Macaca mulatta: one gene and its partner. The protein of the gene in region 2 interacts with the protein of the main gene of each other region in a biochemical or structural test. Links are inferred from orthologs where the notes say so. Each region holds a gene or a part of one and is shown on either strand. Other genes may lie near its edges. The genes, in order: CCK and CCKBR.

What was found.
Region 1: the proteins of CCKBR (region 2) and CCK form a complex in vitro, tested with the Homo sapiens proteins (3 studies listed by BioGRID). The link is inferred for Macaca mulatta from reciprocal best matches to the Homo sapiens genes CCKBR and CCK.

What each region holds. Positions count from the first base shown.
Region 1 is NC_133407.1:105,587,608-105,592,191, reverse strand, and holds the end of CCK (cholecystokinin), read left to right. Parts: intron 1-3,510; coding exon 3,511-3,644; 3' UTR 3,645-3,916; downstream 3,917-4,584. UniProt on the Homo sapiens protein: This peptide hormone induces gall bladder contraction and the release of pancreatic enzymes in the gut. Its function in the brain is not clear.
Region 2 is NC_133419.1:59,528,816-59,533,275, forward strand, and holds the start of CCKBR (gastrin/cholecystokinin type B receptor), read right to left. Parts: upstream 2,909-4,460; 5' UTR 2,298-2,908; coding exon 2,147-2,297; intron 1-2,146. UniProt on the Homo sapiens protein: Receptor for gastrin and cholecystokinin. The CCK-B receptors occur throughout the central nervous system where they modulate anxiety, analgesia, arousal, and neuroleptic activity.

The DNA of each region.
Region 1 (4,584 bases), on a different chromosome or scaffold from region 2:
GCTTTTCATTGATCTGTGGATCTGGAACTCCCCTCCCCCAATTTGGGAAAGACCCTGTTTTTCTTCTATGTAGGCTGAGGATATCTGCAAAAAGGCCTGAAATGTGCTGAATTGACTCTTGGTTCCAAAATTGTTCTAGGAAAAAAAAAAAAAAAAACAACTCATTACCACATTATTTCCTAGAACCAATACTAGACAATGGCTCTTAAAGCATAAACCTTAGCTGGAAAGTTTTTCTAGTCCTTCTTCTCAGCCCCCCTCTCCCTTTGCCTTCAGCCAATTGTGCCAAACAAACCCAGGAGAAAACAGCAATCACTTGGAAATTTAGATGCCAACACCTAGGATCAACGCTAGCTAAAAAACAACCAAACTCTTCTATGTGACAAACATGAACTAGGAATAAATACTCACACTATAGAAACTGCACGGTTTCTTTGAATATTTTACATATTTCGAAATCATATCAGATTTTTGCTCCACTATAGTATATATTATGCTTAAATGTTCTAAACAAGACAATGCATTCTTTGAGCAGTGCTTAAGAGTTTATCATTAGGAAATATCTGCAGCACTTTCAATGGCCCAAGAAGAAACAATTCTATTGGAGGGCAGTGGGTAAAGATACCTAGAGGCATTTAGTGGACACCTCCCCCATGCCCAGCAAAGCTTCAATGCTACATCTATATTGTCTCTCTCAGTACAACAGCCCTGCACAGTAAGTATTATTATACCCATTTTGCCAGCGTGGAAGCTGGGGCTCTAGAAGCCTGAGTAACCTACATGTTGTTCCGTATCTACGCAACAGCAGGGCTGAGACTCTATCTAGTCCTGCTCCTCCCAGGAGGGCCTGGAAGCCATTCAGCTTCCTAGCTGTACTACCTAATCCACATTTTAAAGTTTAAAAGAGCTAAACCCTTCAGTTGTAGCAAGAGCCCAGAATGTCACTGTTTTCTCAGCACCAAAGCCTTTCTCCACGAATAAGGTGATTCAGCAGCTCAGTAGCTGAGTAACATGCAGACAATCCTGTCCTGAGGCTCGCTTTCCCCTGAGCCCCTTCAAATTCTTTGTGTGATTCAGAGGGAGGCCCGTCCATCTCTTGTGGCCCGTAGGAATTAGACTTTGATCAATTCCATACATCAGATGTAAGCCTCTACTCTATGTCAGCACTGGGAAAGTGAGTGAGGACCCTGGTAAATACACATGACATTAGGACAGAACTGTAGGTGGAACAGGGAAGTCAGGGTGTGTGATAAATGCAGCTTCCACAACTGAACATGGTGCCCCCACCGTTAACTGAGGCTGCTTGCTCGTATTGAAGCTGTCACTTCGCTTCCATTAGATGGAAATTTGGGTGTGCCCAGGCCTTAGTGGGCACTCATCATCACAGCAGGCAGGAGGATGGGTCATGTTTCCACGTGACTGTGTACAGGTAACTGGGTCTATAGGTTTTCCTGAATTCAAAGACTAATATTTCACCTGAACAATGAACAATTAAATAGCAGGGGCTATTTTTCTTCTACATAGGCTGAGGGTATCTGCAAAAAGTCTTGAAATGTGCTGAATTGACTCTTGGTTCCAAAACAGGGAAGGGTTGCGGTTGGGGAGAGAAAGAGTGGGGATGTTGTTCTGTGTTGTTTCTGTTTTTAATTAAACTTGCTTAATTTTATTACCCTGGGTAACTGCCTTTGCATTTTCATTTATCAATAAATAAGCCATAGTCTGACTCTACTCAGCCTATGGGCAGGAGCTGGCAAGCGCAGCTTCATGCAGAAGGGATATAGACCAGCCTCACAGGAGGTGGGGACACAGTGGCCCCCAACACAGTGGGAACCATTGAGTGGTCCCCCACTCCTCTACCCTTGAATTGGTCTGGGCTTTGTTCACTGAGGTCCCTGAAGAACCTTTCTTAAGACTGAGCTTGCACAGGAGAAGGTGTCCTACTGATTTCGTACTCCAGGAGGCTACTGTCTATGAACTTTGAGCTAGGACTATGTCCCATGCCTCCAAATAAACTGCCTCTTCATGTCCCTACTCACTCAGTGTGAGCTCTACAAAAGGATCACACTGTTCCTGAAGACTTAACTTCCATCCCAATGGGACCATTTCAGGTTCAGTTACTGCATTTTGGTCAAAATGGCTGATTTAAATCACCTTTGTTATCACCTCTCTCCCGCCCTTCTTTGAGTATTACTGAGGTGCCAAGATTTTAATCTGACAGTCTTTTTCTGAATATCATTTTTAATTGATATTGATTTATCATTGAAAATAAAATGATCATCAATTCAAAACACTTACTGATAAATGAAAAACACTTTCTGAATGTAACTTTCAAATTCATATTTTTAAAAGAGTATTTATATAGCAAAGGGGCTTTATTTATTTTTTTCTTTATTATACTTTAAGTTCTGGGATACATGTGCAGAACATGCAGGTTTGTTACATAAGTATTCCTGTGCCATGGTGGTTTGCTGCACCCATCAACCCGTCATCTACATTAGGTATTTCTCCTAATGCTATCCCTCCCCTAACCCCCTGCCCCCCAGTAGGGCCTGGTGTGTGATGTTCCCCTCCCTGCGTCCATGTATTCTCATTGTTCAACTTCCACTTATGCGTGAGAACATGTGGTGTTTGGTTTTCTGTTCCTGTGTTAGTTTGCTGAGAATGATGGTTTCCAACTTCATCCACGTCACTGCAAAGGACATGAATGCATTGTTTTTATGGCTGCATAGTACTCTGTGGTGTAAATCGCCACATTTTCTTTATCCAGTCTATCATTGATGGGCATTTGGATTGGTTCCAAGTCTTTGCTATTGTGAATAGTGCTGCAGTAAACATATGTGTGCATGTGTCTTTATAGGAGAATGATTTATAATCCTTTGGGTATATACCCAGTAATGGGAAGGCTGGGTCAAATGGTATTTCTGGTTCTATATCCTTGAGGAATTGCCACACTGTCTTCCACAATGGTTGAACTAACTTACATTCCCACCAACGATTTTATTTTTTTAACCATTCCAACATCAAGATATTATAATTGTGCTACCTTAACAACAAGAGCTCTCCAGGAGTCAGGAATGTTGATGGATATTAAGGGATGAATTTAGGAATAAATAAGTACTGGAAAAATCTTTGGTTGGTTTCTGCTGAGGCCATGTACAAAAGGAAAACACCCACCTACCAAAAGAAAGCAAAAGGTAGGGAGACTAAGGAAAATCTAGGCAAGTCCCCAGCCTGCAAGGCTGGAGAAAATGAATCCACCTAAATACTTGCAGAACGCAAAGCACACCCCTAACTTGTAAATATTGTCCTCTCTCCAGTTACACAGACATTGGTCCTTCTCCTCTCTTAGATTTTGGTCTATCAATTCCACTACTTTGACAGCTCTTTGATACCTTTAAGGTGGTGTCTATTATATTGTGTCTGGCTTTTTCCATTGCTATCCTTCACAAATTGAACTAGAGATGCTTTTAGATGTAATGTCCCTGTTTCCTTCCTCCCTGTCCTTTGTAGCTCCTTCTGGACGAATGTCCATCATTAAGAACCTGCAGAACCTGGACCCCAGCCACAGGATAAGTGACCGGGACTACATGGGCTGGATGGATTTTGGCCGTCGCAGTGCCGAGGAGTATGAGTACCCCTCCTAGAGGACCTAGCCTCCATCGGCCCAACGAGAAGCAACCTCCCAACCCAGAGGAGGCAGAATAAGAAAACAATCACACCATATCTCATTGTCTGTGGAGTTTGACATTGTATGTATCTATTTATTAAGTTCTCAATGTGAAAAATGTGTCTGTAAAAATTGTCCAGTGCAACCACACACCTCACCAGAATTGTACAAATGGAAGACAAAATGTTTTCCTCATCTGTGACTCCTGGTCTGAAAATGTTGTTATGCGATTAAAGTGATTTCATTCTGCCCTGTCATTCCCTGCGTCTACTGAGGGCAAAGGGCTCCATTTGATCCTTAGAACATGCAAGGAGGGAAGCCTGATAGATGCTATACCAGGACAAATCCTTGTAGTAGATGTCCCCAGAAAGGGCTTGGGAAATGCAGCTCAGGCCTGAAGCTAACTTTGCTACAGGCCAGCTGGACAGTGAAAGGGTCATCTGTGGGCAACTCCAGAGCCCAGCCCTGGCCACCCTGATCCCCAATCTTATTTGCCAATCCTACTCCCACCAGGGTTTCCTTGGGGTTCTCTTGGCCTTTCAACAAGTTACAGGCAGTAACTGGCCATGGTTTTGCGTACATTTGATCACTCCATGGCTCTGTGGCACAGAGGTTATCATCCTTTCTTTACAGATGAGGAAACAGGCTCTGAAGAGTGAAAGTGACGGCCCTTATGCCCCAGCTAAGGAGATTCACACACTGGAGGTCTTAATGTTCTGAGGCTAGCGGGACCTTCATCACTCTAGCATTTCTCCAACTGAGTGCACAGGAATCACCTGGGGAATCTTGTTAAACTGCATGTTCTGATTCAGCACATCTGGGCGGAAGCCCGAGCAAGTTCCCAGGTGATGTCAATGCTGCTGTTTGCAGACTGTACTTGGAGCTGCAATGGTGCAGAGAAGAGCCTATAATTGCTT
Region 2 (4,460 bases):
ACCTCCTGTAGGCAAATACCTTCAAGTCTGTATTTCCACCTCAGACCTCTCCTGTAAGTTCCAGACCCCTGGATTCAATAGCTTACTAGGTAACCTCACCTGGATGATCCCACTAACATTTAGACTCAATGGGTTCCAAACTGAATTCATAATTCCTTCTTCCAAACCTATTTCTGCTGTTTTGTTATCTTGCTCATTGTATACAATTGCTATAGCACCAATATCCATTCAATTGTCCAAGTTAGAAATCTGAATGTCATCCCTTGACCTCTTCCATCCTCTCTGCTTCTAATCTGTTGATTCCATTTCCAGAAAAGGCTCTCAAACCTATACACCTCTCTCTGTCCCCCTTGCCATTACCGTAGTCTCAGCTAGCATCATCTTTCACCTAAACCAGTGTAATATAGTAACCTTCTAAAGTACCCCCCTGCCTTCCATCTCATGTCTTCCAATCCATTCTCCACATTATAGAACTAATCCTGGTAGTGCTACTGAATCTTTTAGTAGTTCCTATTGCCCTCAGGATAAAGTCCACATTCCATGGTCAGGTCTAGTAGGCTCTCTGCAAACTCTCTAGGCTGGTCTCCAGCCTGTTCATTATTCCCTTCTTAAGATATATGTTGTAGCCACTCAAAACTATGTCACAGTGGATAAAAGTGCCATGAATTCAAACTTGGAGCTTTTTATACATCTTTTATTTGGGATGCTTTCTGCCTCTTCTGCCTGTTTACTTGACTGACTCTCATATATATATATATATATATATACACACACACACATACACACACACACACACACACACACACACACACACACACACTTTTTTTTTTTTTTCCAACAGGAAGCTTAGAGCCAATCTCCCTAATTTTTTTCACTCTGTATCTCATTTCCTTAAGAGGCCAACCTTAATTCTCACGGAGGCTAGGCTGGGCTAGAGGTGCTCCACTTGTGTTCCCACTATCTTTTCCCTATCAAGGCTCTTCCACTTTGTGCTTCTATCCCCTGCTTGTCTGTCTCACCCATTAAGCTTTGAGCTCTGTGAAGTAGGAATTGTGTCAGTTTTGTTCAACTTACATTCCCACTGCCTAGCACAATCTCTGGTTCAATAAATATTGGCTGAATGACAAATCCAAGTGTGAGTGTGTAACAAATGGGCTGAGAAAGCATAGATTATTTCATGGGGTAAATACTTGGATTACAATTTATTCCAACTTTCCCTTCTCAAGTTTAGAAAAATTTATTTCCTTCACTAGAATCCCATCCTTCCTTTTCTGCCCACTCAACTTCAAGACCCAGCTCCAAGATTCTAGCCTCTGTGAAGTTCTTTTGGTGCCCACAGTTTAAACCTTTTCATGGGATTTCCACTGTGTCTGTGATTTTTCCATTTGCTTTTTTCTCTCTGCACTTGGCTATGGGTCATGAGGGACCAGACTGGGTCTAGTTTGCCTTGTACCCCCAGCACCTAGTCTAGGGCTGAAGAGGGAGCTTGGAAGATAGCTGGAGACATTACTTGCAGACAAAGAGAGAGGGCACAGAGCCTTGAAAACTCCAACTAGGGAGGCAGAGGGGTTTGAGGAGTGAAATGGAGACAGGCAGTTTTAAGGGGCATCTCCTAGTGTCCAGCCTAAATCAGATTTGAGGATCTTTTTTTGGGATGCCTGGGGGCTGAGGTGTCAGATGTGATCACATCTTCGGTTTCCCATTCAAGCTTTCCAGAGTGCTCCCTCCCTCAACCAGCCCCCTTCTTTTCCCAATCCTGCCTTCCTTTCTTCCTTCCCTTCTCTGTTGTGGCTTTGTGAACTGGATGTAAGAGGGAAAAGGAGATCTGCAGGGTTGGCAAGAGGAGCTCCTCGCCTTCTAACTGGTGTCTAGGAGGGGCTGCGTGTTGGGGAAGGGGCTGTGCTTTGGGGCAAGCAGCGGCTCTGGGTGTAATCAGGGGACCAGGATGTGAAGGAGTTCCGACCAGGTGGTGTGAAGCTATGAACCTGTGAGCTGTGGGGGTGAAGGTGTGAGAGGAGCTGTTTGGGGGCTGAGGGGCACGGTGTGGGCGTTTGAGGAGATAGTGTGGAGCTCGTGGGGGGACTCTATTAGTGTTCTGGGGTACAGTGAGAAAGAGCTTGTGGAGGGGGATGAGGGGGGCACCCACCTCGTGTCCCGGCTCCGCGAATGCGAGGGGGCTCGCAGCTGAGGTTGCCCACACTGCTGCTGTTGAGGAGAGGCGCCGCCGGGCGGCACAGGGAAGCCCCCGGCCCGGGTCCGGTTCCCTGCACGCTCCGATTCAGCTTTAGCAGCTCCATGGCCCCGGCGGAGCCCGCCGCCTTACTCTGCTCGGCCTGGCGGGCTCCCACCGCGGCTCCACCTGCTCACGCTGCGATGGGCTCAGGCTCCCACCGCCCTCCTTCCCCGCCTCCCTGCCCCGCCTGGTCTCCGCCCCCAGCCCAGGCGCCTGCCCTTCCACTCTCCCGCGGCTCACCCCGCCTCGGTTCCCGTCCCTCCGCCAGCCTCTGTCCCACCAGGTGACTGTGCACCCCCTCCCGGGCTCGGGAGTTCTGCCCCTCCCTGTGCGACTGTCCTCCAGGCTCGCCCCCTCCCTAGATCTGTCCTGTCTCCTCTTAGAGATTTCTCTCCTGCCCACCTCTCTTTATCACCCGCCCCCACCCTCGATTCCCCGGAATGACAGAGAGAGAGAGAGAGAGAGAGAGAGAGAGAGAGAGAGAGAAAGAAAGAGAGAGAGAGAGAGAGAGAGAGAGAGAAGACAAGAGTATTGGCAGCGTAGCGGGAGGTTTTGGGGAAGGGAGGGTAGGAGGCGTTGGGTAGAGACGGCTGCCACGGATCCAACATCTTTCTCTGGTGTATCAGGGAACGTGGAGGTGGCGTTGGAGACCGGGTCTGCGTGCGTCACCTGCTGAGGCGCGGATGCTTTAGTCTGCACCTAGAGCCGCATTTATGGTACTGTGTTGCAGTGACCGCAGTGACCGTGACACTATTGCTACCGTAGTTCCCTGCAGCTCCTCGCTGCGGGACTAGGGTAGCTCCTGCATCTGTCTCCGCAACCTTCACCTCCTATCGGAGGCTCAACACTCAGGCTTCCACTTAAGGTTCCCAAGGAGCCCTCCACAGCTGGGCGGGAGTGGGGGTGGGGCCAGGATTTGGCTCCAGGGGAGGCTTGCCAGGGGAAAGGGCTCCCGGGAGGCAGCTTCTGACTTGGGTGTTGAGGGCAGTTGGGGGTGGTGGCAAGAGCTGACAAGGATAAACCCGAGTAACGTGAAGATGGGATATAATTCTAACGCCGGCCCAGCGCAGACAAAAGAGGAGGAGACGGTTGGCTTTCTCCACCGTCTCCAGGCAGCGCCCACGCCCACCCGACACGCTAACGGCTCCCTGTTTACTCTCAGTGCAGGCAGAGCTGCCTGTGTAGGGTGTCAGGTTCCCACGAGTGGGGGCTGGAAGGGGACTGGGTCACTGGGGTGCAGCGGGAACAGGGCTGAAGGGTGCAGGACTGAACTGGGTTCATCTTCTCAGGGCAGGATTTGCCTCTTCTACTATTTCAGCCCTGCTCCTTATGCATTCTCCTATCCATTCCTTTTCTTCCCCAGATTCCTATCTCCAGATTCCTATCCATTCTTCAGATTCCAGATGAACTCCAATACGATGTGAAATTCTGTCTTTTGACCCCCAGCAGTAGCTGTAAGAGGTGGGGGGCGGGCATCAGTGGAAGAGCAAATTAGAGAATGGAGTCTGGCTTTATGGGGGATTCAGCAGGCCTTTATCCAATCAATCTTTTGGAGAGGACCTGGTTCAGCCAGCTCTGAGTTTATAGGGGCTGAAGCATTGAAAGAGAGTTGAAAGACAGTTTATGCCTGAGATGTCGTCAACTGCCCCTCCTTCCCTTCCTCCTGGCACTGCCTGTCTTGCCCATCAGAGAGCCTGGACCAGACGAGCTTGATTTCCTATTTGTTCAACTCCAGCGCAGGTGAGGCCTCAGATAACCTGCTCAAGTTTTCCCACATTGGATGGCAGTACGATGAGGAGGGAAGGGAGCAAAGGACATAAGGGAGAGGGGAGTGAAAATAGAAGTAGATGAACATTCACAATGTTCATTGTCAATTAGCAAACTATGCCAGTTCTAGGGGTGTGCATTAGTAGTCCAATATAGTTTGCCCCTGAGTAGCACCTACTCTAGTGGGGATTTTCCCAAGTAAGCCAATGATTGTAATATACGGTCGTTAAGTGCACCCATCGGGATGTACATATCAGAAATTTAGGAATTATTATTGATGCCTTACTCCCCTATGATCCTTCACCCCTGTGCTGGATGCTGTGATGCAAAGCCCAGAACTCTCTTCAAAAATGAAGGATTTATTTTCCAGTTGCGGAGAGTGCTGCTAAAAGATGGCCCTCAGCTGTCAGAACCCTTCAGGAGTTGCCTAAGCAGAAGAAAGCCAGCTCATCCAAGGTTA